Linked DNA regions of Elephas maximus indicus. The protein of the gene in region 4 purifies or fractionates together with the protein of the main gene of each other region. This does not show direct contact. Links are inferred from orthologs where the notes say so. Each region holds a gene or a part of one and is shown on either strand. Other genes may lie near its edges. The genes, in order: KDR, UBR2, mitochondrial chaperone BCS1 and NRP1.

Evidence for each region.
Region 1: the proteins of NRP1 (region 4) and KDR purify together in Homo sapiens (affinity purification with western blotting; 7 studies listed by BioGRID and IntAct, with this or other methods). This does not show direct contact. The link is inferred for Elephas maximus indicus from reciprocal best matches to the Homo sapiens genes NRP1 and KDR.
Region 2: the proteins of NRP1 (region 4) and UBR2 purify together in Homo sapiens (affinity purification with mass spectrometry; 3 studies listed by BioGRID and IntAct, counting the BioPlex papers as one, with this or other methods). This does not show direct contact. The link is inferred for Elephas maximus indicus from reciprocal best matches to the Homo sapiens genes NRP1 and UBR2.
Region 3: the proteins of NRP1 (region 4) and mitochondrial chaperone BCS1 purify together in Homo sapiens (affinity purification with mass spectrometry; 3 studies listed by BioGRID and IntAct, counting the BioPlex papers as one, with this or other methods). This does not show direct contact. The link is inferred for Elephas maximus indicus from reciprocal best matches to the Homo sapiens genes NRP1 and BCS1L.

What each region holds. Positions count from the first base shown.
Region 1 is NC_064823.1:106,202,327-106,209,937, forward strand, and holds the start of KDR (vascular endothelial growth factor receptor 2), read left to right. Parts: upstream 1-4,433; 5' UTR 4,434-4,740; coding exon 4,741-4,807; intron 4,808-7,611. UniProt on the Homo sapiens protein: Tyrosine-protein kinase that acts as a cell-surface receptor for VEGFA, VEGFC and VEGFD. Plays an essential role in the regulation of angiogenesis, vascular development, vascular permeability, and embryonic hematopoiesis.
Region 2 is NC_064819.1:107,011,317-107,018,428, reverse strand, and holds the start of UBR2 (E3 ubiquitin-protein ligase UBR2), read right to left. Parts: upstream 3,024-7,112; 5' UTR 2,616-3,023; coding exon 2,538-2,615; intron 1-2,537. UniProt on the Homo sapiens protein: E3 ubiquitin-protein ligase which is a component of the N-end rule pathway.
Region 3 is NC_064824.1:117,210,339-117,217,425, reverse strand, and holds the start of mitochondrial chaperone BCS1, read right to left. Parts: upstream 3,057-7,087; 5' UTR 3,014-3,056; intron 2,940-3,013; exon of another isoform or gene 1,752-2,939; 5' UTR 1,703-1,751; coding exon 1,383-1,702; intron 1-1,382. Other genes in the region: ZNF142 (zinc finger protein 142), read left to right, coding at 5,384-5,663. UniProt on the Homo sapiens protein: Chaperone necessary for the incorporation of Rieske iron-sulfur protein UQCRFS1 into the mitochondrial respiratory chain complex III.
Region 4 is NC_064822.1:6,926,905-6,935,060, forward strand, and holds the start of NRP1 (neuropilin-1), read right to left. Parts: upstream 3,020-8,156; 5' UTR 2,928-3,019; intron 1,939-2,927; exon of another isoform or gene 1,850-1,938; intron 1,527-1,849; exon of another isoform or gene 1,493-1,526; 5' UTR 1,035-1,492; coding exon 968-1,034; intron 1-967. UniProt on the Homo sapiens protein: Cell-surface receptor involved in the development of the cardiovascular system, in angiogenesis, in the formation of certain neuronal circuits and in organogenesis outside the nervous system. Mediates the chemorepulsant activity of semaphorins.

The DNA.
Region 1 (7,611 bases), on a different chromosome or scaffold from region 4:
CGTTCAGCATATTGTTCAGCCATCACCATGAACAGCTGATATTCTTAAAGTTGAAAGCAATTTTCAAATTAGAGGGTATGTTTGGAAGGCATAATCAGCCAGCCAATTAAAGACCTTTTAACAAGTACTGTTGAGTGATATTATCAATACCACCATGATTATAACGTATTTTACAGTTTACAGAGCACTTTCATGAGGTTGTCTCATTGGAGTCTCATAATAATCCTTGAGGGAGGGTAGGCAAGAGTTATTACTCTCACTTACCAGTGAGGAAGCCAGGGGCCTATCTAGGGAAAATAACACCTATGGCAATTGGTTTTAAATTGCTGAACCATCTCTCACAGCTGGCAATGGAAACTTCCATGGCCAACAGAAACTGCTCATTAGCGCCCCTCCTTAAGTGGCGCCCAGGGCACTGCCCAACGTGCCATATCTTAGTTGTGCCTCAGCTCGGGAATCTGATGCCTACAGTGATGGAAAGATTAACTCAGTGTCATTCTAAATCTGTGTATTAACCACAGCAAGACTCTGACAGTGGAGTGAATAGTAAAATGAACCCTTCAGGTCCATCATTCAGCTTCCACAATTATTAACCTTTTGCTTATCTTCATATTTACTTTTTAAGATTTGAAGTCTAAAATACTGGTGATGGTGATGGAACCAAATTCAGGGGTCATGAGGTGTAATTTATGTGCTTTGGTGATATGAGCAATATATATTCCGTGTGCACAACCCCAGTTCCTAGTACATAGTGATGCTCAAAAACTGTTATTGAATGATTGAGCCTTACTGCAGTTTAGAGGTAGGCAGCGTGAAGTAGACCATGCATTGTAGTATAACTAACCTTTGCAAAATACTTCTTGAGGTGTATCAGGTGCTTATGTGTAGGGTCCTATGCTTACCAGGTGCTAGGTCCTATTCTCAGTGACTTGCATGTAGTAATTCATTCAATTCTTAGAAGAACTCTGTGGAGAAGGTATATTATCATCTTTTGTGTTCTGTAGATAAGCAACCAGTAAATTGGTCAAGCCCCCATGGATAGTAAGTGGTAAGTTGACAGTCAAACACAAGCAGTGTAGGCCTACAGTTTGCGTGCTTAGCTACTGCCCTTCACTGCTCCTCTGAAGGTGTGTGTCTGAACGCCATCACTGAACACTCTTGAGACACTGTGCTAGATGGTGGCCATACCTGCACTGCCAGACTAATTCACAAAGTCACTCTTTTGCAGTGGTGCCAGATAACAGGAGAGCTTTGCACATGGAACACTTTTTTTTTTTTTTTTTTTAACAGACTCTCATTTTTCAAGAACACAAGGCCCTTCTAAGTGCTGTGTGGGAGGGAATGTGGTAGATTGATTTCATTGAGACCCTGCCAATTTCTGGTCCTGTGGCCATCAAAGATGCATCACTTCCTCCAAGACATCGAAACGGGGCTATTACCAAGGGCCTGCAGGTTCTGGTTTGCATTTGGAGGAGGAGACACTATCTTCTTACTTGAGATCTGGAAGAGGAAGTGTCCTGAATTGTAAATAAGGCTGAGAGAGAATTGTCTAAAGATGGAGATGGAGAAAAATTGCCTTCACCAAACCACATTCCACCTCCCTCTTCCTCATCCAACTCTGCCAGAGCCCATCTGTTTTACTTCTTAAATTTGCTAGCAGGAGGAGAGGTGTTTCTTTAAGGACCTTCCCCAGTAAAAAAAACACTCCTCAACAACACTTCCTAGATAAATATCTGTAGAGTAGGACATCATGCCACCGTTAAAAAGAATGAAATGGCGCTCTGAGGGTTGAGTGATGTAGAGTGCTCACCAATGTATATATTAAAGTGAAAAAAGCCAAGATTCAAACAACAGTTCTATCAAGGCCGCCATTTGTGAAAAAGGAAGATGATTACTCTGCGTATAAGGGCATAGAACTTGCTTGGAAAAAGGGAACTGGTAAAAATTCTTGCCTCTGTTGAAGAAAGGTTTTTTTGTTTTTTTTTTTAAAGGTCTTTTTACTATAAACTTTTTCGTATTTTTGGAAAAAAATTTACCCATATGCATTTATTATACTTAAAAAAGAGTTAAAATACTTCATTTATCAAGTTGGAAAAGTAGAAGAGTAAAGAAATGTATTTTTTAAATAGCAGAAGAAAAGCAACACCTGATGATGATTGTGTATTTCCAGAGGAGGGTTTTGGACTAAATGTAGGGTTAAATTCTTCCTCTTCATCCTGCTGAAGGGATAGTTCTTTCAGCTGCTATGAAAACACGCTTGCATGCACCTTGGAAGTAAAAGACAGAGGGATTTGAGAGACTCCTATTTAATGAAGTTAGGGGACATGTGATGATTTAATGAAGTTAAGGGACAATTGATGTCACTCCCTGGATGTAAAGAGAAATAAAGAGAAAACAAGAAGAAAGAAATATGGTCATGAAAAAATGCTAGTTTCTCTACAAACAGCACCACAAGTAGTCTACATTCATGGAAAGAGTGGTGAGGTCTGGTCACTGGGTGTTCTGGGTGCCTAGGATATGGGAGTTTTTGCTTCATTGCTCAGCCTCAGGTTGTCTGGGCAGGAACTTCAGACTCTGAAAAGGGGCCTGGCTAACAGTGGTATCACTAGGGTTGGTGTTACTCAGTGTGGTAACTCATGGTGCTGCCCCACCCCGTGGACCTCCTCCAGTACCAGACCATACAGAATTCTTAGTAATGTTATGGGGCCTTGATGGCACAGTGGTTAAGCTTTGGCTGCAAATCAAAAGGTGGCAGTTTGAATCCACCAGCTGCTCACTGGAAATTGTGTGGGGCAGTTCTACTAATACTATTCATAAATCGTAATTCCCATATATCACTGAATGTAATAGCAATAGTAGTGATATAAACAAGTAGGAAAATTAAAATGACACCTTTAACACCTTTAAGTTACAGTTTTCTATCATACGCACAGCCTAAATGTATTTACATTTCACTTGGTTCAAGTGAAAATTCAGTAAGGAAACAATAGAATTCGAAGTAAAAATATTTAAGAACTACATCAAAATCACGTTCATTTTAACATTAAACTTTACGTGAGATACATTAGTGGATTAGGTTTGGAAAGCGAGGCAGAGCGAGCCAAGAATTGACCGAGCGGTTTCTGCTCTTATGTTATATGTCTTATGTCCTCTCTGCTCCTCACCATCCAGGTTGGTACTGGCGACGTTTTTGGTGTTTTTAAGTCTGATTAGTTTTCCCCACTTGGGTTTTAAAAAATTTTAAATAAAACTCTGCTGTCTTGGAGGGTTTCTACCGGCTGGAAGGCCCCAGGACATGCGCCCCCTCCCCTGCCATGAGGGAGAGAGGGAAGCAGTTCTCCAAGATGAACTGCTCAGTCCAGGGCTCCAGAGGACCGGGCTTTTTGGAATGTAGTTGGGAGTCTTACAGCTCTTGGGCTGTGCCCGGGTTTTCCGAGCTCCTCTAAAAAAAAAAAAACAAACTTTTTTTATAGAGGAGGTGTATGTGTGCGCGCGACTGTGTGCGTGTTCCGCGGCGCCGCTCGGCGCGGGGGAGGCCCACGCGCCCACGGCCGGCTCCGGGGGAGGTTGGTGCCACCGCCTCTGACAGTGTCACCTGGTGCGGTCCGCAACCCCTGCACCCCTTTAGTGAAGCCACTGCTGGCTAAGAGTCCAAGTAGAGTCAGGCTGGGTGCTCCTTGTCCAGTAACACCGGACACAAAAGGCCTTTCTTGAGAGTCTCATGCCAGGGACGGAGGCCACTCACGCAGCGGGTACGCAAGAGCCCGGGATACCTTCAGCTCCCTGAAGCCCTGCTTTAAGCTTTTGGCTAGGAGCTAGGCAGAAGTCGCAAATTTGAAAGCCTTCTGGGGCTAAGCAGATAAGTTCAAAATATTTGAAGCCGCGTGAACTTTCGGGAACTGGGGAACTGTATTTTCAGACTGAGACATTCAGAGTCAGATTTTCAAAGTACAACTGTGCTGGCCAAACAAAACACTCGTAGTGTCTACGTTCACTGCGGGTTTGCGACCCCGCAGACGTCTCGGCTCAGTATCTGCTTCTCCCTGGTTGCTCCTCCAACCTAATCCCGCATACAGTTTAGACGCGGCGCACCCCTTGCTGCATTTCCGGTGATATTTCTCGTATCTCGGGGACCGGCAGCCGACTGAACCTTGGAATGGTTCAGAGCCCTTTACCGGCTACATTTTATTTCCACCAGAAACTAAGTTGTTGCGCCCGGAGCGCTGCACCCGGGCCGACTCGGGGCCGGGCGCATCCCGGGCAGGTGTAGAGGTGAGGAGATGTAGTGCATGTTGTAGGAGCGGGATCCAGGCCCCGGAGTCCCGGGAACACCCAGTTCGGCCGGGTGAGGGGCGGGACCTGTGGCCCAGGGGAGTCCCGCCCGCAGCCCCGCCTCACCTCGCCCCGCCTCAGCGCTCTAGAGTGTCTGCCTGGTTCCTACTCGGCAGTGAGTCCGGGGACCCCGGGCGAGAGGAGGTGTGCTGACGCTGCCTTTCCTCTGCCACGGGCATCATTTGCTCCCTGTAGAAGGCCCAGAGCCGGTCCCTCAGCCGAGATCTCCTCTCAGACAAGCGCCCGCAGACGCCTCTCCAGCAACTGCCGGGCCGGGGCACCCTCGCCCTGCGCGCTCCGGGTTGCTGCGCTGAGGCACGCGTCTCGCCTTCACGCCTTCTTCGCCAGGCAAGCCCTCCGGGAACGCGCGTCTGAGTTTTGGGCACTGCGCCCGGCGTGAAGTGCAGGATGGAAAGCAAGGCGCTCCTAGCCATCGCTCTGTGGCTGTGCATGGAGAGCCGGGCTGCCTCCGGGGGTAAGAAGCCCACTCCTTGGGAGGGAGGCGGACAGGTTGGGTGCGCACGGAGAGATCCAGATTGTGGAGGACATGGCGGCCCGATATAACTTCGAATCTTAGAGCTGGAGAGTTGGAAAGGACTTGACGCTTAGTGCTGTTTAATTAACCATTGGGGAAATTGAGGCTCGGAGACTGACCTCCCAGCGAGTCGGTGGTCTACTGAGTTCTAACACGATGCCTTTTCTACGGCTCTGGTCTCTGACAGGCGCCTCGACTGGAGAGTGTCCTGCGAGCCAGCCGACGCACGCTCGGGCTCCCGGAGGCGGGGATAGGAAGGCGCCCAGGGCAGGCGTGCAGGAGGTGCCCCGCAGGCGGGGAACAGGCGGTGAAAAGTCTTAAGGGCTGGGCGCACTATTTTAGTCCGGGTGCAGACAGGCAGCTCCTCCGCTGGGAATGAAGCCCTGCAAGGAGCGTAAGCCTGGTGTCCCAGGGCGTCCAGTGCACTCAGCTCTACTTCCGCTAGAGTGGAGCGGGGATCCCGGCCAGCGTTCCCTCTTGGTCTGAACTGACAAGCACAACCACAAAGAGATGGCATCCAGTGAGAGGGAACCTTTTTTTTTTCCCCCCTTTCCTTGGTGCAGGGCGCCTCTTTCCTCGCAGAGAAAAAACAGAGAAGGTAGGGGAAATTGGGACTTGGCCCTGGGGCTGTGACAGGTTTCCCGAATGTCTCTAAGTGACAGTCACCTTTCAAGGTAAAACAGTGTTAACGTTTTTTAAAGCGGCTTTGTCCTTGCGGTAAGCGCATAGTCAGAAGTTCGCCCTGAAGACCAGGTCTGCCGGACTTCATACCCAGTTTTAGCGCCACTTGCGACTTCCCTTGCCACCTAACATTGCGGTCTCCTTTAAGATTAGGAACACAAACGCTCTTAGTGCCATAACTTTTTTTTTTTTTTTTTTAACGTTTCCCAGATAACATTCCTTCTCCGTAGCCATAATTTACTGATTTCCAGATTACGTGAGGTTGGAGGGGGAAAAAAGTCAAATGTTTAGGAAAATTATTTTTTATTATTTTGAAAGAAAAGAATCACGTGTCTTAAGACTTTTCTACTCACTTACAGTAGCAAGATCATCTGTCTAGAGTTATTGAATTTTCTGAATAAAGACTTGGTTCACCAGGCCCTGCTCCACCCTGGACACTCATTCGACCCTGACAAGGGCCCTCTCTCTCCCTTCATGGGCAGAGAATGAATGTCTGGAACATGTGGTTGTTCTGTATCCCACAAAGAAGTGAGTCGCTTTTAAGCCTGGGGTGTTTCATAGCGCAGCGGTAGTAATGGTAATAGAGTTGCCCTGAATAATGGTGAGGTTGCCCTTTTGGAGTATGTGGCTTAATTAATTGGATTGAGCTATAATTGGTGCCATCCAATTCTAGAGACAGAGACACTGTTGTTTTTCCTTCCTGTGTTTGAGCTGGAAGGGGTAATAGTGCACAAACTAATTAATATTGGTTATGGAACTTGAACATAGCAGGCCTTGTTATGGAGTAGAAGGATATGTATCTTTTATAGTCATTTCTTCAGAACTTTCTGAAGAGTAGAGCTCAAATTTGCCAATAAAAATGTATGAAGCTTAACGGAGGAAAAAAAAATTGAGCCTTGGCCGAAAGATGATGAATTTGAAGTTATCATTATTGATAGCTTGTTGAATAGATTTTTGTCGTAGATTTGTCTGTAGAACAGTATTGTGTTGTCTTGGCTTCCTATGAATGGGGAACACATCTTTTTTATGTTTAATTTTTACATAGCAAAGTGTGTCTAGAGTGTGGAATGATTTGTGGCAATAATTTGGAGAGATCTTAAAGAATCTTTTATTTTGGTGATGGTGGAAGCATAGCTTATTTTAAGCCTAGTCATTTACTACCATTTTGCTCTCACGTGAATGTGCCCAAATAATGACTTATTTCTCATTTGGATCATTGTGTGAGTTGTAGTAAGTTTCTGCTTTCAACGTGTTTTTCAACCTGCTGTTTCCCAGTGAAGTCTGAAATCTATGCTCACACAAGTGAATTTTCATTCTCCTTTTCTTAGGCAAAGTGCGACTCCATTATTGAAAGGCATTTCTTTTACTTTTCCACATTTTGCTTTATTGCTTGCATTCTTTGGGGGCAGTTAATTTCTTCATATTGAAACATGGTGTGCTAGCTAATTAACTGAATATGACAAACCAGACCAATAGCTGTCCAAGAGTGGCCCTTAGACCATCTATGTCAGAGTCACCTGAAATCCTTGCTAAAATGCATTTTCACAGGCCTAAGGATAGCCTGACACATCCTAGGATTTAAGAACCACTGCCTCAAACACAGCATGTCAGTACCAGTGACAGTTTCTGAGGCTTATTGATGTAATTAATTTCCATTTTTTTTTGACTGTGTTATTGATGAGTAACTATGTGGGTGTGTGAGAACATGGGTGATCAGTTTGTTCATTTTGCCTGTAGTTATTCACGTTGGAGTCCACAGATTGGATGCACTGGATATTTGCTTATACTCTCTTTACTCATACTCTCTCTTACTTGCCCATATTTGCTCATACTCTTTATTTCCCCAGCAAGATCAATGCTAGTTTAGGTCCAGAGAGTCATTTGTTCTTAGTTGATGTGAGTTAGGGATCACACTAAGTTTGGGTGCTTCCCAGCATTGATCACTTTTTAAGCTGCTGTTTTGTGGATCCTGATATGTAAATGGTTAAGGCTCTCAGATGCTCACCATAAAGTTGACGGCTGGAGTCCACCCAGAGGTGCCTTAGAAGAAAGGCCTGGTGATC
Region 2 (7,112 bases), on a different chromosome or scaffold from region 4:
ATGGTTGTACAACTCTATGAATATACTAAAACCCACTGAATTGACTGTGTATGAATTTTTTTTCAAATCTGTTAAAATATTAAAGCAAAAAATATATATAGACTTAAAACTTCTACAGCGAATATGTATTTCATTTATAATTGGGGGAAAACAATACATGTATTTCTTAAAACATAATCACCCATTAGAGCACAATATTATTATAATCAAATCTGTGGAGCACAAAATGTAGTAAATAAGAGCTGAGAAGTTTTGGGAAAGTCATAGTTGTTGTGGAATCAATTCTATCAGGAAAATGAGAAGACTGAGAAGAGGGAGCCATTTCCATATCCTAAATTTATAATAATTAAAGCCAGCCTAGATGCTTTTTGTGAGGCATAGTACTTAGGATATATGGGATCACAATAAAGTCCTTTCTCCTCATAACAGAAATAAGAAAAGCGGTGTGTAAATAAAGTGTGGGAAAGAAGAAACTAGCGCTCACTAGTAATCTAAAACGGATGTGATCCCAACAAATTACCAGTATTGTTTATCCTCTCTAACATTTACTTTAAATTGGAGAGGAAACTTTATTAAGTCTGTGAAAAAGAGCTGTGCTGGAGCCTAAGTTGAAAGAATAGTTTTAAGTGCTATGCTAACATAACTAAAATACAGACAGTAATCCTTTACAAAGTAAGGCTAGGCTTTATAGCTGGAGGAATCTTATATTTTCATATTAGTTTGCACCTAATATTTGAAGGAATTTTGTTAATTATTAGAGTAAACATTTTTCTTTATATTATTGGTCAGAAAGCCATTTAAAGTAAACAGAGCAATAGTAAAATGGAATTCAGTTTGTTGATCTTCACAAACTCAAATGAAGTCCAAATTAATAAATTTTTATTGCATTTCCCTTTATTTTCCCCATTGTGTCTGCTTGAGAATTTCACTGCTCAAGAACTAGGAGCACTGGTCTCCAGCACCGTTTCTGTTAACTGGTTTCTTCAGGAACCTCAACAAGTTGGAGAAGCTCTGCTACTCAATAGTTTGCACTTTTAGAATAGGGATAATAGAATATGTAGCCTGCATCTCTGGGCCAACAGGCACTAATATTTGGCGGGATTAAAAAAATTACTTTGAGGTAACTAACTTATTCAATATCAACAGGCAAGACCATGGATAAGGAATAGCTGCCGTTATTATAATATTACTGTTTACTTGTAATGCTGCTTTCATTTTCTTGTTCAAATCTCTTTGATAATTACCAATGAAACGCAGATGGGGGATGTAAATCCTTGGGTTGTTACCACATTAAGCAGAAAGTAAAAGAAAACATAGACTAAGCAACCAAGTCAGGACTGTGGTTAAAACCAACAACAAAAAAACAAGCAAAGAACCATGGATTTCTTTAAATGTTCACCTCTACTCCTGCCTTCACTTATTTCCACCCTAAAACTTCAGTGTCTTCATCAATTCACTCAAAATAACTTCACTGCCCAACAGCCCCACAGTGCCCCCTGCTCAAATTTTTTTCATAACATTCAGACTGTCGACTTGTGTTCACTCCCTTCCTAGTAGTTTTTTAAACTGGAGGCCTTAGAGGTGGGGCCCAAGTTGTTTTGGTCCATTCATAATCAATCTGGACAATCTGTTCTAATGGGTGTTCCCTGTCCTGCTTGGGGAAAAATGCCATCGAGTTTCATCAATCATTTTACAACTACTAGCATATTCAAATTACAGTTTCACTACAATGCTAAGTATCAGTTTGGGGCATACTGCTTCTACTATGCTTTAGCCAACCCTCATATTATTAGCTTATATTTGGTGAAAACTGCTGCCTCGAAGTTATATAACGTTTGTCGTCTATCCAAAGACCATCAACTCCTAGAAAAAAAAAATTTCACCTGCAGCCTCCATCACTACTACTTTCACACATTCACTAAACGTGTCAAGACACTATCTTCCACGCATTCATAAACGTTGTGGACCGACCAAACAGGTTAAAAAGCGCGCTGAAGGGGTTAAGGGAGAGAACTGTGTCGTTTGCATCCCCGGTGCCTAGGGCAGTCCCAGAAACAAAGTGGGGGCTCAGTTAATGAACCTTTTTTGGTGGACAATGTGTATCTCCGCTTATCTCAGAAAACGGAATCGGGAAGACCAAGTAGGGCGATAATACCCAAAACGCTAGGAAACATCTCTTTCCCTCCCATCTTCCAAGAGCTGGAATAAAGGGCAAAGGCCTGCGTGTTGGGGACTTGCGGGAGGGTGAGGGGAAGAAGAATAATGAGAGCTCTTGGGTCAGCCGGGACTAAAAGGGAATGTAAACGCGGCTGGTGCACAGTGCAGTGCTGGCGGCTGTTTGAGAATGAAGAGGGAAGGAGAGAAAGGAGAGGGGAAAAACGATCGGTGGCCTGCCCGGGCCGTTACTCCACAAGGCCAGGCCGGCCCGGTCGTCACCCCAAGTCAGGACCAGACTGCACCAGGATTTCCAGGAGTGGGTTCCTCCCCCCGGCGCGGCCAGCGAGGGCTGGACGTCCCCGCCCGGGTCCGGCACTCACCCCCGCGGTTTCCTCGGCCGAACATTCCAGCAAACTCCGGTCGATGGCCTGCACCTCGGGCTCCAGCTCCGACGCCATCTTCCCTTCTCCTTCTCCCCAGCGCTGACGCCGCTACCGCCGCCCCGAGGGCCGCGGCCTCGCCACGGCCCCGGCGGCCGCGACCGCTACCCTCGCCCCAGGCAGTCAGTCAGTCAGTCCCGGAGCCGCCCAGGCGGCTGCGGGGGAAGCAGCAGAGGGAGAAAGGCGCGGTGAGCCGGACAGGAGGGACGGCGGTCTTCTGCGCTCCCGCCCGGGCTCAGCGCCTAAGCGTCAAGTCACTGCTTCGTCCCTGCCCAGGGGAAGGACACAGAGGAACCCAAACCTGGCACCCTTGCTCGCTACTACCGTCTCCCGCACCGGGAAAGGGGCAATAACACTCAGGAGGGGAAGAGGAGGATACTGGGAACTGTAGTAGATCTCAGCACAGCACAGAGAACGGTGACACCCTTATAGGGTGCCCCACGAGGGTATTGTGGGAGTTGTAGTCCATTTCTAACCGGAGACTGAGCAAATGGCAGATAAGGGGGCGGGACTTTCTGGACGACTAGAATCATGGGAAGAGATTAGTGGCATGAGACGCCTACCTGGGAAAGGCACGAACCCAAGACCAAACCAAACCTCTTGTCGTGGAGTCGATTCGGATTGATAGCGACCCTGTAGGACAGAGTAGAACTGCCCCATAGAGTTTCCAAGGAGCGCCTGGTGGATCCGAACTGCGGACGTTTTGGTTAGCAGCTGTAGCTCTTAACCACTACACCACCAGGATTTCCGGAAGAGGCACCAGAACACGATAATGTGGGAATTGTAGTTTTATCCCATACACCCAATTGTTCATTTTTGTATTTTCAGCGCTTTGAACAGTGCCTGGCACGTGGTAGACACGTAAGTACTTGTCAAAGCCTGACTTAAGGTAGGCACTCAAATGCTTGTCAAAAGAATGGATGAATTGCATTCTACTCCTGTAGAATTCTTTGACCCTGTCATCCATCATCCTCTCTCCCCTTAGACTAGTACCGAATTGAACATTACCCAGGTGTTTTAAGGTTTTAAAATATGTTTAAATGCTGTTAATAGAAAAACTTTTCAAGCAATTTAGTTATGACCGCTTATCAAGATTACGAAAATTTCCTGCAAAGGAAAAGGACTGTATCAGGCCAATTTGAAGATTTACTCTTGGTAAGGACATTTGATAGACATAGACAACCATTGTTAGATTAGATATTTAAAAAAATTCTGTTTGGTTAATGGCAATTAGATTCTTGACTGACAGTTGGGTGAATGGGTTTCTTAAAACAAATCTTCAACCATTTAGAGTTTATCAGAAAATTGGTTACACGTTTTATCAGGAGTGCTAATTTTTTCCCAGAAGGAAGTTGTGAGTTACATTACGCAAAAAAAAAAAAAAAAAAAAGTTCTGACCCAGACCAAGTAGGGAACATGTTTTTGTTGTTGTTATAATTTGGAAATTTTAGAATCTTACAAGCATCCAGGAAGAGAAAACACAAAGGTTCCATAATCAGAAGCACTGGGTGCCTCAACCTTTCAGATATACATTTGAGATTATTATATTTTCAACCAACATTTCTAGGTATTTGTGTTGGGATTGGTGGTGATTCAGATGATAAAGTTTGCCATATTTTTAGGATAGTTAAAATGTGAGCTCCATGTAGGCAGTAACTTTCTGTTTTCACTTATGTACATATGTTCCTAAAACAGTGCCTGACGTATTAGATTCCCAATACACCTTGGTTTTTTTAACCTAATAATGCTTTGTTATTTTTATGACTGCATAGCGTTCTGTGCTATTCCATGAATGTATCGCAATGTGTTTAAACTATTGATGAACTCATTGGTTCTTTCCAGTGTTTTGTGTGATTAAAAGAATATTCAATTAAATTCCATTTTCATATTGATTGGCAAGCTAAATTTTAGGTATACCCACAAAACCCACTGCTGTCGAGTCGATCCCAACTCATAGCGACCCTATAGAACAGAGTAGAACTGTCCCATAGAGTTTGCAAGGAGCGCCTGGTGGATTCAAACTGCTGGCCTCTTGGTTAGCAGCCATAGCACTTAACCACTATGCCACCAGGATTTCCAAATTTTAGGTATAGCAAAGGATAAATTTGTAGAAGGGAGTTTTCTGGGTGAAAGGAAATAACGTAACTGGTGAAAGGGCAAAAGGTACAAACTGAGGCTCAGAAGGGGCAGGACTGTAAAAAGGCCCACTTGGGTGCCACCTGTTATACCCAGTCCCAGGCACAGGACCTTCCCTATGCTCAGGGCTTTCCACCCTGGCTCCTCACTGGGCCTAGACATGGTCTCAACCTCCAGCTCATTACCTACTTCCCTCTCTCTCCCCCTGCAAAAGATACCCATCTATGTACTATTTCCCACAAAGCCCAGTCTTTGGCCATATTCATCCTTCCATCCACCCATCAATTCATTCAGTGCATATTTTCTGAAGCTCCTACTAAATGCCAGTCACATTCTTGTTACTGGCAAGATATCAATTAGCAGGCACAGTTACTGCTTTCATGGGCTTATATTTTAGTGGAAGAGACAGACAATAAAAAAGTAAGTGAGTGAATACATTATACAATTACAGATATTGAGAAATGTTCAAAGAAAATAATTAGGGTGATCAGAGAGGTATATCTGAGGAGGGGAAAGTTGAGCTGAGTCTTGAATGAGAAGAAAGGGTCAGTCATGTGAAGATCTGGGACAAGGGCATTCTAGGCAAAGTAGACAGCAACAGCAAGGGTTTTAAGGCTGGAACAGACTTGGCATGAATCAGGAACAATAAGTTTCATGGCAGTTAGTTTTCATATAAACTAATAAATGCTATGCCAGCTGGTAACAGTAATAGGTATATTATTCCTATTCTCAACTAGCATCTTTCAGATAAGTGTTAATACATTTCAGTTTAGATACAACAAAACTGAGACTTATGAAGGTAAGATAACTTTCCCAAGGTCACTGTGGTAGGTTGACTGCAGTTTAATGACCCTCATTAGGGGGCTTCCTGTAGGCACTTCCTTTACAACGTGACTCTACCACTCTTTACATCAAGAAGTGGTGTCTACAAAAAAAGACCAGACTTACTGGTCTGGCAGAGACTAGAGGAACCCCCGAGACTATGGCCCCCAGACACCCTGCTAACTCGGAACTGAAGCCACTCCCAACGTCCACCTTTCAGCCAAAGATTAGATGGGCCTATAAAACAAAAAATAACACGTGAGGAACATGCTTCTTAGTTCAAGTATATGAGACCAAATGGGCAACACTTGCCCAAAGACAAAGGTGAGAAAGCAGGAAGGGACAGGACAACTTGATGAATGGACGCAGGGAACTTGGGGTAGAAAGGGTAAGAGTGTTGACACGTTGTGAGGATTGCAACCAATATCACAAAATGATTTGTGTATACATTTTTGAGTGAGAAACGAATTTGTACTGTAAACTCTCACCTAAAGCATGATAAAATAAAATAAAGAAGTGCTGTGTATTTCCCTACCCCTTGAATCTGGGCTGGCCTTGTCACTTGCTTTAGTGAATGGAATGTGGTAGAAGTGATAGAATAGCAGTCCCAAACCTAAATCCCCAGAGGTGGTCTTGCATGCTTCCTTCGAGTGCCCACTTTCTCCCTAAGAACAAGTCTGCGCTAGCCTGCTATAGGATGCGAGACCACATGGAGGAGAATCTAGATACAGCTGGCAGCCAGCCAACTCCTAGAAGCAGAGGCACCTAACTGACCTGTGGGTAGCTGCAGACACATGAGGGAGACCAGAAAAAATGGCCTAAATTGCCAACCTGCAGAATCATGAATAAATGATTAATTAAAAAAAAAATTTTTCATGGCAAAGCATATAAAACATAAAATTTGCCATTTTAAGTATTTTTACATGTGCATTCAGTAACATTTGTTACATTCACAATGTTGTGCAACCACCATCACTATCTATTTCCAAAACTTTTTCACCCCAAACAGAAACTCAGAGCTCATTAAGCAGTAATTGATGTTTTAAGCCACTAAGTTTTGGGGTGATTTTTAATGCAGCTATAGCCATCAATTCAGTCACACAGGTAAGGGGCAGAGCTGGCCTTTGAACTCAAGTCTTTCCAACTCCAAGGCTCATATTCTTTTCATGCAATGCTGCTTCTCCAGTGTACCCATTTCCAGGTAAGTTAATTTATACATATATATATATTTTATATAATTAACCAAGCTCATGTACAGTAGGCCAAAAGCCAGGGAAGGCTCCCTTCTCCTTGTTGGGTCCTATATTATTTGACTCTTACAGGCCATGGATAAAATATTGAGAACTTTGTGTTTTTGAATTGTTTCAAAAGAGTGAACAAAGACATTTCTATGTTAGGAAAGCCACTTCAAGATAGGTTCATTCATGATTAAGATCTGTGGACACATGCTCTGCTTTTCTTGGGGACAAAGTTACCTGGTTCTCTCTTTTATGTCTGAGATGATTAAAATGATGACAGCCAATTGCAATTTTTTTTCCCACCTCATTTGGGGCATTG
Region 3 (7,087 bases), on a different chromosome or scaffold from region 4:
AACATTTTTTGATGGTTACGAGGGATGGGAGGGTGAAGAAGGGAAAATCACTAACTAGAGAGTAGACACGTGTTAACTTTAGTGAACGGAAAGGCAGTACACAATATGGAGGAAGTCAGCACAATACAACCAAGGCAAGAGAAGACACTGAGAGGTACACAAGGATAAAAGAGGACGTAAATACTATAACATATACAATCCTGGAACAACAGTAAAAACAATTTATGAGTGGATACGTAGTGGTAAATACTATGACATATACAATCCTGCAACAACAGTAATAACAAACAATAATTTGAGTGGATACATAGTAGATATGTATGCTGAAAAGAAGTGGGAGGGTGTATGGGAGTACATCCACACGCATATGGTTTGGCTGTGGATATTTCTACATACATATTCGTATGTGCAGCATGTACATCCATATATATAACAGAGCACACAGGGGGCACAGCCATGGCAACATCCAAGATATAACCAAACACCTCAAGGAAGTGAGTTACTGGGCTTGAAGACTACGGATCATAATCTTGGGGGACATCTAGGTCAACTGGCAAAACATAGTTCATAAAAACAACGTTCTACACCCTACTATGGTGAGTAGTATCTGGGGTCTTAAAAGCTTGTCAGCAGCCATCTAAGACACAACTATTGATTTCTTTCCGTCTGGAGCAAAGGAGAGTGAAGAAAATCAAAGACTCAAGGAAACAATCCAAAGAAGTAATGGACCACATGAACCACGCCTCCACTAGCCTGAGCCCAGAAGAACTAGATGGTACCCAAAAAAACCAAACCCACTGCCGTCAAGTCAATTCTAACTATAGCGACCCTACAGAGCAGAGTAAAACTGCCCCATAGAGTTTCCAAGGAGCGCCTAGTGGATTTCAGCTGCTGACCTTTTGGTTAGCAGCCGTAGCTCTTAACCACTACGCCACCAGATAGTACCCAGCTACCACTACCACCCTGATCAGGATCACAACAGAAGGTCCCAGTTAGAGATAAAAAAAGAACAAAATTCAAATTCATAAAAACGACCATATTTACTGGTCTGAACAATCATTTACACGAGACCAAAAAGGGCAACATCTACCCAAAAGCAAAGATGAGCAGGCAGGAAGGGGCAGGAAAACCTGACAAATGGAAATGGGGAACTTGGTGATAACGGGGAGAGTGCTGACACACTGCAGGGATTGCAGCCAATGTCATGGAACAACTTGTGTATAAACTATTGAATGGAAAACTAATTTGTTCTGTTAACCTTCACTTAAAGCACAGTTAAAAAAGAAAAAGAATGGCCAAAATGGGGTGAGCAAATGGGTCAGACCCTGCTCCCCTCATTTTCCTTTTCTGCTCTTAAAGCCTTCCCTGGCTCCCAACCTTACCAGATAAAATGGTTTCCGGGGCTGGGAACAAATTCAAATTTGGTGGAGATGCGGCCACTTTCATGCTGAAGGTACGAAGTCTCCACACTGAGGTGCTGAGTTCGGGTACTGTGGCGGGTCAGCCAGCTAAGCAACCAAGCATAGCTCCTGTCTCGAGCAGGGACTTCCAGTGTGATCATGTAATGGCGCCGGAATGCCACCATGCCCAGTTGGGCACCTTTCCGGGCCAGGGCGAGGGCTGTGCCCACACCAACCAGCCCAAATCCAGCCCCAAAGTAGGGATTGTCCTTCAGGGCCAGAATAAAGTCTGAGAGGGACATCTTGAAAGGGAAACACCGAGCCTTACAAGCCCTGAGGCATTATCAAAACCTAGGGGTTGAAGGCAGTGGAAATGAGACAATGCATAAGATTAGCTTAGAAACAAACTGGACTCCATAGTTCCTATCCCAAACCACCCCACTCCCTCCTGTAGAGGGACAGGTAGGCACTACTGTGTGCTTCAATATCCACCCTTTGTGGGGGGGAGGGGGAAGAGGTTGGAATGCGAGGGCAAGAGAACTGAGACTCCAGGCCCTTTGTTCCCGTTTGCCCTTCATTAGCCTGTTCATACCTGTTTCCTGCCAGAGGAAGTGTCTGGAGATTCCTTAAACCCCAGGGAGCAATGTAACCAGCTTCACATTAGGATAACGGAAGGACAGAATTTTTGTGGTCCCTGAGACCAGCTGGGACAGAAAGGTGCCCAATGCCTGCAGTCAGCAGAGAGTGAAAGAGCTACTCTTTTCCACTGACATGGCAGTTAACCCCGTGCCTTCCTTGAGTAAGGTCTTTCAAACATACTCTGCCTTTCACGCCCAATTCCCCTTAACCTGCCCTGCTTAGAATTTTATTAATTCTCATCTAACCTGTCTCTCTAAAACGTTTAAATTCTAGTTCGAAATGGCCTCTTAATGAGTCTCCACCTCCAGCTTCACCAAAATGCTACACAGGTGGGCTCAGCTCCAATTCTATCACTCGCCCTGCTCTAATACTTCCAATGGCTCCCAACAGACCACTGAATTAGGTACGAACTCCTCAGTCTAGAATCTAAGGTTCTCTCCAACACAGCACCCACCTACCTTCCCTGGTTTAGCTTCTAATACTCTAGCCAAAAAATATGCGAACAACCTCCCACCGCCTTGCTTTTGAAGGTCTCTCAGCTCGGAATACCCGTTCTTCTTTATACCCTCCATTCTCGGAAAAAGAAATACTGCCCTTTTGCTACTTCCTCCACGGAGTCTCTGCTGAATTACCCCAATAAAATGTGACCGTGTCTAATTCTAGGCTGTAAGATCCCAAGGGGTAAGGGCCAAGCCGTTTCTAGTATCCCGCCCTTCTTCCCCACCACCAATCCTCCTGCCACTTTGCCTTGCGCCTGGCTCGCAGGGCGGTGAACTGACAGCAGTGACCTCGGCGGAGGTTCAGGGTTAGGATCCAGATTTCCAAAACATCTCTGCATGGAAAGCCGCAGAAGGAGCCCTCCCCGGCCCCGGCCCATGCTGGACGCTCAGGAGCCCACTCCCGAACCCCCTCCACACCCCAGCTTGCGCCTCCAGCCGCGTGGTTTGGAGTGACCCGTCACTCCGCCCCCTTACCGCCATGACTCTCTGGCCCTCCCTCTCGATGGTTTCACCTCCTCGCACTTGAGGGAAGCGCCGCTTGGCCCAGCCCCGACTTATTTTGCCTACTTCCTGCCACGCCCACCAAGAAGGCCCTGCCACTCTGCCCCACAACTCTCGATGGTACTCCCTGGGAGCCACGGCCGGGAGAGGTGGGAAGGGAAACTATAGATAAAACCATAGAGTACCCCGCCAACCGGCGAGAGGAGGAAAGAGTAGCCTTCATGTACCCTACGTCCTAGAGGCCGCTGGGCCAGAGGCGGTTGCACAAAAGGAGCCCCGGGCGACCGCTCTAGCCGCTGATCGACCATAGAGATGCGGCTCCCGCCGGCTCTGGGCCGGGAGGTGAGTGAGTGGCTACGGGCTGGGCACTGCAAGGCTGTGCGGGTGGAGCGATCCCTAGGCAAAAGTTTCTCGAGCCCGAGGATGAGGGTTGGTCTGGGCAGGGGGAACCCCCGGGAGGAGGTGCTGAAGGGTGCACGCCAAGGAGGTCGGCCCCGGTGCCTCAGCCGCGTCACTGCTCTGGACCACTCCCAGGTACCCGCTGCCTCCTCAGGACCGTAATCATGACGATGCTCCGTCCTAAGCCTTGCAGGTTACAAAACACCTTTCCCATTCTTCGGCTCTTGTGATCCTCACTCCTCTCAGACATTGTGGATGCTGTCATCGTTTCCATTTTACAGATGGAAAAACTGAGGCCCAGAGAGGCAAAGTAATTGTCTGCCCAAGGCCGCACGGTGAGTCAGAGCCTGAAGGCCTTGGTCCCCAAGCCGGGAATCTTTCTTTCTCACTGCCTTCATTTGCCCTTTCTTTTCCTCATTGCTCCTATCCCAGCGATCAGCTCATCTCTTCTCTTGTATCCACCTGTCTCCCGACTCACCGCGCCTTCTAGACGATGAAGGTTCTCAATCTAGACCGCATCGCGTGCGCTTTGGTTCCCCTTTCAGACCATGTAGGACCAAACGGAAAGATACCCCAGAGCGAAGATAAGAATCAATGAAGGCTGTGGTTTGCTGAGAACCCCTCTAATCGCAGAAGGGCACTTCCGTGTGAACTGAGATTTTGAGAGGCAGGATTCTGGAGAACAGGGCATATGAGATTGCAGGGACTTAGTTTCTTTTTTGTGCATCTTGCTTCTCACGTGCAACCTGATTTCTTCCTAGCCCTAGGTCTTTACTGATCTTCCATGAAGTGATTACTGTCGTTATTCTTGTTGGTTATGAATTATTCAGCTTAAACTTGTTTTAGTCATGTCTAACAGGATATGCAGTTTAACCACCATTCATTTCTCAGTTGTGTTCCAGTGTTTAGTCTGAGGCCATAGTCCAGTCAATGAGTTTGAAATTTCTCCACATGTATTATTTTATGCGTAAGGAATCACATGGTTACCAAGATAACTCATTTTACCCTGGTGCGTCTCTACAGTTGATCCTCTACAATTCTTCACTAGAATCACCTTATTTGTCTAACTTGCATAGATTGTTGGTGGGTTGTGTTCAGTGAAGTGATGTCACTTAAAAGAAAAAAAGCTCCACTTAAGAAGCTCAGAGTCTAAGGAGGGAGACTGATAGCAAAACAGCAGTGCAATGTGACATAGTCTGTGATAGGGCCACGTAGAAAGTGTCTTTAGGACCACAGAAGAGAAAAAACAACTTAAGTTAAGAAGCCTTCGTAGAGGAAGTGACATTTGTGCAGATTTTTAAAGGGTAGTTAGAAGTTGGGAAGGCAGGTGAGAGAAGGTGGAAATGCATGTCACGCCAAGAGAGAGGCATGTGCTGGGGTATGGAGAATTTTGGGAGTCTAAGGAATGGTAAATTGATATGGCTGGTTTAGAGGTTTGTTGAGGGGAGAAGTGAAAGTTGAGTCTGGAAGGATCAACAGAGGCCAGATCATGAAGGGCCTTATAGACGTGATGAAGAACAGTGAAATCATAAAATGTTAAGAGGGGAAGGCACTGCAGAGATTTCTTTGGTCCCACCAAATTTTGTTGCAGATGAGAAAACAAATCATTGTTTCATGATTTGTCCAAGGTCACTTAGCTAAGTGTTAGCAGTGCAAGAAACACAACCTGTTGTCTTTAATATCTTGGCCAGGATTTGTCGGCTGTCTTCCAGTAGTGACCCTGTTTATCATTATTTCTATTCTCTTTTTGTTCTCGATGTAGTCATAAAAAGAAAATCTCTCTTTAGGTTAATAAGGTATAGCATGAACCGCCTAGGTTGGCAGACACTGGGCTGTACACCCACACCAGCTGGGAAAAAAGTGAGACCTCTGACTCTTTGTTTTTGTTTTTCTTCTCGTTGGCTTATCAGCACTTAAGAAGCCACAGCACTGAAATCGGTGGTGATGACAGACCCTGTGTTGGACTCACAGCCAGCCAACAGTACTGGGGAGATGGATGGACTGTGCTCTGAACTATTGCTGATCCCCCAACCTCTCTCTAACCGTGGAATCCTGGAGCCTGTTCATAGCCCCTGCCCCTCTGGGAGCCCCACAACTCTGCCTCCGGACCCAGGCTGCTTGCTGGTAGAGGCCACAGCAACTGATGAGAGCACAGGGAACATGGAGATCATTGTGGAAGCAGTAGCTGGAAACCTATCCCCAGATGCTCCTGGAGACACCCCAGGTACAAATACAGTTGCTAGAGGCCAGTGGAACAAGCAGCCCTGAGGTTTTGTCCATGCTATTTTTGATCTTTCTGTATAAATATGAGAACACAGGGCAGCATCCTATTTTTATACTTTGAGATGTTGTAATTTGGTTTGCAGTTGGTGAATGTTGACCGAAGGCTGCCAAGGTGATGCACAACCTTGTACCAAGCTCTTGGCAGAGCCTGTTCCTGGTGAGGGCTCAGGATGGGCTTCAGTTTGCTAGGCAGTAATCCAGAGAGGAAGACCTTCCTGACACCTCTGGCCAATCCTGGCTTCTTTTTATTCTTATATTTCCCGGGAATTCTTTCACCCATATTGGTCTTCCAACCCAAGAACTGCAGCCAGGGATCAGGCAAAAGGCCCAGGCTCTCTTCCACCACCTGGGCTTGGCAGGGCTTTCCGGAGGTAACCTGGTACCTGCTTTCCCGTCCTAGTTTCTCCTGCATAACATAAGTAACTCATCCAAGCAAGCTGTTAAAGAGTGGCAGTTGAGCATTTGTATTTATCCTAGGGGAAAGAGTCATCCCTTTATTCTGCCCATATCTATAATCCCTTGTTTTTATTTTTTTAATAAAATTGTGTTTTCGGTGAAGGTTTACGTAGTGGTTTAGGTTCCTTTAGAACAGTTTCTGCACAAGTTGTTCAGTGACTTTGGTTGCGTTCGTTGCAGTGCGTGAACATTCTTGTTATTTTAGCTCTGGTTGTTTTGTTTCCTTTAATCTAGTTTCCCTGTTGCTTTACATCCTCATCTTTGTTTTAAAGTAATTGTTGACCACTTGGTCTCACATAGGTGATTTTTAAAAGGAGCGCAGCACTTACGGGTGGTATTCATTATTTTGTGAGCCAGTCTGTTATTTACTTACAGGGTGACCTCAGGGACTAGTTTGGATTCAAGGCTTAAAGAGTATCTCAGGGCATTAGACTCGGGGAGTCCTCCAGTCTCAACCAGTCCAGTAGGTCTGTTTTTTTTTTGTTTGTTTGTTTGTTTTTTGTTTTTAAAGGAGTTTGAGGTTCTGATCTACATTCTTCTCCCATTCTATCAGGGTCCATCTATTTGTGGTCCTGATTAGAATAGTATGTAGTGGTAGCCACATACCATCTATAATCTCTTATTTTAAGGAAACTACCTATATTTTTAACTGCCATCCTCCAGCTAATTGTCACCACTCTCTTTGGCAGTATAGTGTTGTGGCAAAGAATACTGGAAAAGCTTAGCTAAACTTCTCTGTGTGATGAAAGAAACCATAAAGAATAAATAAAGAGGCTGGGGAAAATATTTGCAGTATACAAGAAACAGTTAATATCTTTAAGATTCAGAGTTCCACAATAAGAAAAAGAAAGGGAAAGAGTTTTAAAAAAAAAAAAAGGAGGAAAAAGAAGCCCGCATGCAATCCTTTTA
Region 4 (8,156 bases):
GAACACCTCCGCTTGCAGTCTCTTATTAAAACAATATACCACAGAAAGTAGTGGTTGTTCTTTTCTTCTAATTACTTTGATTGAAATCTAAGTCAGACTAAAGTAAATATTTGATAATTAGTTATTAATAATCGCCCAAGACTTACTGTAAAGATAATTTCATACCCTTGCCTTCAGCAACTTTTCAGTGGTAGTTTAACGTGCCTACAACCAGGTCACATAAAACACATTATTTATGTTACATGGTCCTGTTTATACCCCAGCACAGTCTTTCATTTACTTAACAGTGAGTGGTTTGAAAGAGCAAAGTGGAAGCTGCAACTAGGTTAGGGGTTTCGAGATATCCTGGTGCCTTAGGCTGTATATATCAGATTCCTTTATTGACACCATGCAACTTTCATTCAAACTCCAGACGGATTAGGGACGAGTTACAAAACCGTGGGCGGGGGTTCCATCAACCAACAAACCACTGTCTTTTGCAGGCACCCGCCAGAGGAAACAGTTTGGGGGAGTTGCAAGAGAACCAGGAAGTTGTTTCTCCTGGTAAAGTGTTCATTAACTTTTAACTGCCATCAAATTTTTGAAAGGGAGGCTCATCTAATTGCCTTTGGGAGGAAACATTATTAAGATAATTGGTGTGCTGATCTGGGAAGGTCGGCAGCTCCGTCTTGCAAGAGAGATAGGAAAACCTCCACAATCAAACAGCCAACTTCCAGGAGGGAGCTGTGTGGTCCAGGAGGGAGCTAGAGGACTTGAAATCCTCTTGCCATAAACCGATTGCTTTGATTTCTTTATTTCTCCGCCCGGATAAAAGTTTCCTTCGCCCGGGCGGATGGCTCCTCCGGCTTCATCCCAGCAGCTCTGCGTGAGTCGGGTTGCTGGGGTAGGAGGCAGAGCCCGGTAGGACGCCCGCAGCCGGGGAGCCCCGGGCGCGGCGCTGTCAGACGCGCCTCCGCCTGTCACTTACCGTTGCGAAAAGCGCTGGCCAGGGCGAGGGCGAGCGCGGCGCAGAGGAGCAGCAGTCCTCTCTCCATTCTACCTTCTCCGGACCTCCAGGCAAAAGCGGGAGAACGAGATCGCGCAGGGAAAATACAGCAAAGGGAGTACTCTGAAAAATCCCAAGCGCCGCAACTCCGCTCAGAGCTGTAAAATCCTCCAGCCGGTCTTGGAGGAAGGAAAGCAGCGAGGCAATGCCTTGATCCCAGAGAAACGGTTCTCGTTTTGTGTCTCAAGTCGCCTGCATCCTGTCATTTAGCTCCTGTTTCCTCTCCCTTTTCCCACACTTGTTCCTCTTCCAAGAGCCGCTGCCCGAGCCATGTCTCAAAAAAAAAAAAAAAAAAAAAAAAGTGGGGGCTGGGAGGGGGAGGAGTGAGGTAGGGAAACATACACCAAAGCCAATTTCCAGAAAGGAAAAAAAAAAAAAAAAAAAATCTGGGTAGTCTCTGGACCCGTTGGAGCCGAGGAGCTGGCGCCCAGGGAAGGTCCGGGGTGTCTGCGGAAAGGAGAGGAGCAAGGAATGAAAAGAGGAGCGGGAGACAGAGGAGTTTCACTAACTGCACCCCCGCCTCCCCCACCTCCTTCCGTCCTCCCCCTCCCCTTCTTGAGCCCTTCCCTCGCTTCCTCCTCCCCTCTCCCTGCACAAGCTCGCCAGTAATTGCCTGACAGGAGAGGGGAGGAACAAGTTTCCCTCACTGTGCCTTCCCGGTCGGTCTGTCTGTCTTTCTCCGAGGCCCTGCAGGGATCTTCACGAGGAGGAAGGCTCTGTGATCTGCGCCGAGGGCGTGCTTGCGTGTGTGTTTGGGGTGGGGGTATCGATGTCGGTGCCAAAGAAGGCGCAGGGTTCGCCTACCTCGGCGGACCTCGCTTCTGCACCCCGGAATGAGAGCCGGGGAGGCTGCGGGGCAGCGAGGATCCCGCTGCCGAGAAGTGCGGGGCGCCGGGAGGTGGCGGCGGCTTCTTGCAACTCCAAATCCCCTTGCTGGCTAAGAGCGGGGCTTCTCCGCGCGGAGCTGGGCAGGGGAGCTACGATGCCAGCTTACTCCCCACCTCTTACTCCCCGCCTGACCAGACTGGGACCTGTGGCAAGGAGGATCAGGGCGCCGGCTGGGCACTCCTGGTCAGGGCTGGCGGGCCAGAGGTGGAAAGCCCAGCTGGAGTAGGAGACGCACTGCAAAGCCGAGAAAGGGGAGGTAGTGTCAGTGCCACGTACGGCCATGTCAAACCGCCTAGGCGTGCGAGGCCGGGCTGCAGGCGGACACGGTCTCCCGCCCCGACGTCAGGGCGCGCGGCTGGTTGCCAGAGCGCCTGGGCGCCAGGGTGCCCGCCGTGCGCCGCGGGGCTCCATTGTTCCCCGAGATTTGGACAAGACTTCCCCTTCGGGATAGAGGGGACGCCCGCAGGGTGGGAGATAAATCGCCTTCCAGCTAGGGGGCAGTCGCCGCCCAACCCCACCCAGCCCCGCGTCTCCGAGCCCAGGTACTCAGCGGTTTAGAAATTAGGGGTCCAGTGGCCCCTGCTTTTTTGCATCCCGGGGGAAGAGGAAGCGCTGAGGAGAGAGGTGGAAAGGGGGACTATTGGCAGGGCCCGCACGTCGCCGACTCCCGGCAACAGGCAATTGTGTGCGCTAGTCCTATAGCTTCCTGCCCACTCCCACCTCCCCACAGAGAGGAGTCGTCACTGTCGCTGGAGGCTCCCCAGTTTCATCCCCCAAGGGCTCCCAGAGAACTGCTGTTGAAGTGCGTCTGCGGATATGAATAGCAAGGACATTTCAGAGAAACGAACAGTTTGTGATCATGGATTCAGCCCTTTAGAGGGGTCAGTGCCCGCGGATTCCCTCCAAAGGAGATCATGGACAAGGTGAAAAGGTCACTCTACCTTCTGGGAATTGGCGTTTATTTACATATCCCCAAATCAGACCTTATTCCTACCTGGTTTAAAGAGCTGGCAAAGGAGATTAAGAATGTTGACAAGGAGACTCTGGTCAAAGGTTTTGGCGGAAGAACTAGGGGCGGGCAGGGAGAGTGGCAGCCCAAAGCGCGCCGGCCGGAGGCAAGGGTTTCACACTCGCGGGCTGAGGCTGGGCGCGGTGACGCGCGCCCCTCAGGGTGCAGGCGGGCTCCGTGCCCGCGCTGAGGAGCAGTCCGCGGCGCCCGAACTCATTGGTCCGATCAGATCCTTGCCAGTTTCTGGCTTCAAGCCCTCCTTTGCAAGTCTTTCTTCTCACCCTACCCGCGTCCGCTGAGCCCCAGCCGCCAATCTTGAGACCAAGACACCTCCGCTCCGCAAGCCATCCCTGTCTCCAGAGCGCCTCCTGTCTGTCCAGTTTGCTCTTTTTCGAGTCGCCGACCCCTGGGAGGCACTCCCAGCGAGGCGTGGGGTAGGAAGGTGACACTGGCCCTGGTATCAAATGGGTCGAGAGATAGGGTTTGCGGCAGGGGGGTGGGCAGGTCTACGCCTCTGGCCTGGCGGCTGAAGGAGGGAGGAGGCGGGGGAAAGCCGCGCCCAGAGCAGAGCCCAGGGGAGCCAGCGCTCCGGCGGAGGAAACCTGGGCTCCTGGCTAAGACTTCTGCTCGTCGCCGCCTCTCCGCCTTATCTCTGCTCTGCACGCAGCCCCAGCCCCGCCAGTCAGTCCCCAGCTGCGCGGGATCAACATCATCATCAGATTTGGGGTGGCCCCTAGTGACCTCAGTCCAGGGCTCGGTGGGAGAGACGGCTTTCAGCACCTGGCATGTTGACAGAGAAAGGGAAACAGGGAGGTGCAGCATCGGGGCGTCCTAGAGTTACAGATAGTCGCCTTCTTCCTACTGGGACTGTGCGGCCCTCGCTCCAGGGAGCCGGTTCTGACCCGTCTGAGCCTCGGCGGGGTCAGCGAGGGGGCACACGCGGAAGACTGGAGCTGTGTTGTTTTTAGAAAACTGCTTCCAATCTCTCTTCCCCTTTCCCCGCTGAGCGTGCATTTCCCAGCCTGGACTCGAAAGGGCAGTAAATAAAGCCACCGGGTCGCGCACTCAGGGACGGACTGTCCCCCACCCGGACCTCGCTTCCTCCGGGCTCTGGCAGCAGTCGCTCCTCCTCCGGCTCTCACGCGCCTCCCCAGCGGGAAGGGCTCCTCCGGCGCGTCAACGCTCAGAGAACGCCTGTCTCCTTTCTTGTTCACCAGCTAAGCACTTTTGCCCGCTTTTCTCCTGTCACCTAATAAGGCATGCAATATATACTCTAGGGGAAATACCATACTTAAGTTCTGCCACTGATTTTCCTGGTCTTAGCTGATTTGAGGCTTTTCTAGACTCCTTAGTTTCCAGGTACAGTACTGGATAATAGAACCCTACCTACCACGCTGCTTGATAATTGCTAGCTCGTGGGCTGGTGCAGAGCAAATTGCCCCTGCTGACAACCTCTTTCCTTTGCTCTTGTATTCCACTAAGTGCTGAAGAAGGTCAGCTTTAGATTTCTGCAATTCCCCAGCAAGGGAGACAGACTGACCTTTATACAAGAATAAGTGATAGACAGAGGAGGAATTTGGCAGTGTTCCTGGGTTGATTTTATTTTGGTATGGTGAAGGCATCACTCTTTCCCGATATCGCAAATCCTCAGGCTAGATAGGACCCACTTCCAATGAAGGGAAGAGGTATAGACTGCACTCCCAGAAGGCCCTGCGGAGGCCCTGGGTCAGCATTATTCAGCCCCATTGACTAGCACTCAGGGACTGCTCCAGAAATAAGGCGCTGGCTAGGGTCCCCCAGAGTCAGGCTGGAACCATGGCTCATCGTTAAGAATAGACTGGGCGGTAAATGCTTCATTCCTTTCACCAAGCTCTCATCAATTCATCAGAAATAAGATGAGATCCATTGTTCCCAGAAGGGCATTAAAGCCACTAACTTTCTCATAGTATTTCAGGTTGATGAAATGTGGAGATTTAGGTTGGTATACAAAAATAGTATCAGGTCTATCTTCGTCAAGTTTTTAAAAACATCAAGCCCAGGCATCAGAAATGCAATAAAACAATATATTTTTAGTAGGCTCTAACCTACATTTGAGATGTAAGAATGGAAGAAGTAAAACTGGAAAAAGACTAAAAAATTGGAATTTAAATTAATCTACATTATTTAAAATAATTCAATTTAAAACAGCATTTATGTCAAATGTCTCTATCATAAAGAGATGTCTTTTGGACCTCATTTATACCTATCTCCTGAATATGTATTGCCAAAGGAAAGAAGGAACTAAACAAATGAATTTTTACTTTATGATACTTTATTTTTGGCCTTTCAAAAGTTATCTTGAAAACTCTTCAAGTATTCAAGAAAAGATAACCATCTAAAGTTTTAAGATAAAGCTGTAATACAAAGTGTTTGTAATATAGTGCATGCAATTGGAAGATACAGGAGGAAAATGGTAAATTTTGAATCATGTTGGTGGATTCAAGACATTTTGTTAATAGTAGAGGTTAAGCTAGAATTTGAACACTTGTATTGGTTGTAATGAATAATCTCAGATTATTCTGTCTTAATTGAATTACTTTTTCAATTAGGAAAATTAAAGTCAAGATAACCAATAAAATACCCACCAAACCATAAGAACATTAAAGAGAAAATATTCAAAGTTTCAAAAGAACTATTTTAAAAATATAATTTCAGTGACCAAAATAAGAAAGAGGCTCTCTCTTTAAATTCAGTCATAGTTTTGTGAAAATTAATATAGAACTCAAGTTTTAAGAAATTCTAAAAAAAAGCAAGAAGTATTCTTAAAAATCAAACAAAGAACAACAACAATAACCTGCCCCCCCCCCCCGCCACGCAATTAAGAATTGTGGAATTTATTCTAACTGAATTTAAAAACTAGTGAAGAATTTTAATTTGAATTTTATTAGTTAATCTGCTGTGTGGAGAATGAGTTAAGAAGGGGGGAAAGGACGGAATGAGGAGACCAATTAGGAAGCAACTATAATGTGATATAAGCAAGAGCTTGAACGAGGGTCATGGGAGTGGAAATTGGAAAAAGATGTATTCAAGATATATTTAGGAGGCAGGACCAAGATGGCGGAGTAGTTCAGACGCTTCCCGTGAACACTCCTACAACAAAGACCAGAAAAAACAAGTAAAATGATTACATTTAAGACAAGTTAGAAGCCCTGAATATCAAGGGCAAAGTTAGAAAACAGACTGAGTGGCAGGGGGAGGGGGAGATGGTTCAGAAGTGAAGAGGAGTGCTGGATCTGAATCACCAGGAACTCTCAAGCTGTGGTGGGTTGATGGTAGTGTTCAGTCATAGTCTCCTCTGGGAGGAACAGCCAGTCACACAGCCTACTCACACCTCCAAAACCAGAGAAGAACAGTGCTTTCAGCAAAAGCTATGTACTTGTGTATATTTTCCTGCACTCCCAGCCCCAAAGCCAGCTTCAGTGGCTGTCGATTTCCCTGGGCCTGAGAGAGGTCCCATTGCATGTCCTGAGCCATTCTCCCCGACTTGGAGAAGGAATAAATTCACAATTGGGGAAAAGATAATCTGTCAGCTCCACTAACCTGGGGAACTCAGGACAGAAGTGGCTCCTATCCAGGCATAAACGGACAGTGAACTTTGAATATCTTTCCCCCCTGTATGGACCCGTGTGGGCCTATTTGAGTATGCCCTTGTTGGCAGACTGCAACTGTTTCAGCTGTGTGGTGGAGAGGTGGCTGTTTGATATTTCACACTGCTTTGCCTATTAAACAGGGTCCTCATCTACCCACATCAGGGGCCTAAGGACTGGTGGCTCTACTAAGGTCACCCAACCACCTGTGACAGGTGTCCGGGGATAACTGGTATCTCTCAGTCCTTACAACCAAAAGCATTGGGTGCCCAAGGTCTGTCTGCAGAACCCACCCGCCTGTGCACTCTACGGAACAGGGATGCGCTTTCCTCACAGACACTCAGGAGATGGTTGTCAGCACCCTGCCCTGTTCAGAGTGTGACCTCCTGCTGTGACCAGATACTGGTACCTACACCAATCACCCCAACCCCTCTAAGACTGTAGGACAGAGCCTGTACAACACACTTGATGACCAACTACCTGGACACCTGAGCTGAATCCATACAAGAAAAGTGAATGGACTGCTAGGCTCATATACCTGGTAACAACTCTAGCCATCTGGTGACAGGATGTTAGAGCTTCAAAGGTGGAAATAATCAAACTAGGTCACTCAAGCAACCAATTTGGACATATCAAAATAAAACAAAACAAAACAAGAAGCTAGAATATAGTAGGCAAACATAAACTAATACAATAACTTATAGATAGCTCAGAGACAACAGTCAATATCAAATCACATAAAGAAGCACACCATGATTGTTTCAACAAGCTCTCAAAACAAAGAATCAAGGGATCTCCTGGATGAAGGTGCATTCCTGGAATTACCAGTTGCAGAATACAAAAGCTTAATATACAGAACTCTTCAAGACATCAGGAAGGAGATCAGGCATTATGCAGAACAAGCCAAGGAACACACAGATAAAGCAGTTAAAGAAATTAAAAAGGTTATTCAAGAACATAATGAAAAATTTAATAAGCTGCAAGAATCCATAGAGAGACAGCAATCAGAAATTCAGAAGATTAACAATAAAATTACAGAGTTAGACAACTCGATAGAAAGTCAGAGGAACATAATTGAGCAAGTGGAAGGCAGAATTGGTGAGATTGAAGATAAAGCACTTGGCAACAATATATTTGAAGAAAAATCAGATAAAAGAATTAAAAGAAAAAAAAGAAAACGTAAGAATCATGTGGGACTCTATCAAAAGAAATAACCTACAAGTGACTGGAGTACTAGAACAGGGAAGGATAACAGAAAATACAGACAGAGTTGTTGAAGATTTGTTGGCAGAAAATTTCCCTGATATTGTGAACGGTGAGAAGATATCTATCCAAGATGCTCATTGAACTCCACATAAGGTAGGTCTGAAAAGAAAGTCACCAAGACATATTATAATCAAACATGCCAAAACCAAAGATAAAGAGATAACTTTAAGAGCAGCTAGGGATAAAAGAAAAGTCACCTACAAAGAAGAGTCAATAAGAATAAGCTCAGACTACTCAGGAGAAACCATGCAGGCAAGAAGGCAGTGGGATGACATATAAAAAGCATTGAAGGAAAAAAAATGCCAGCCAAGAATCATATATC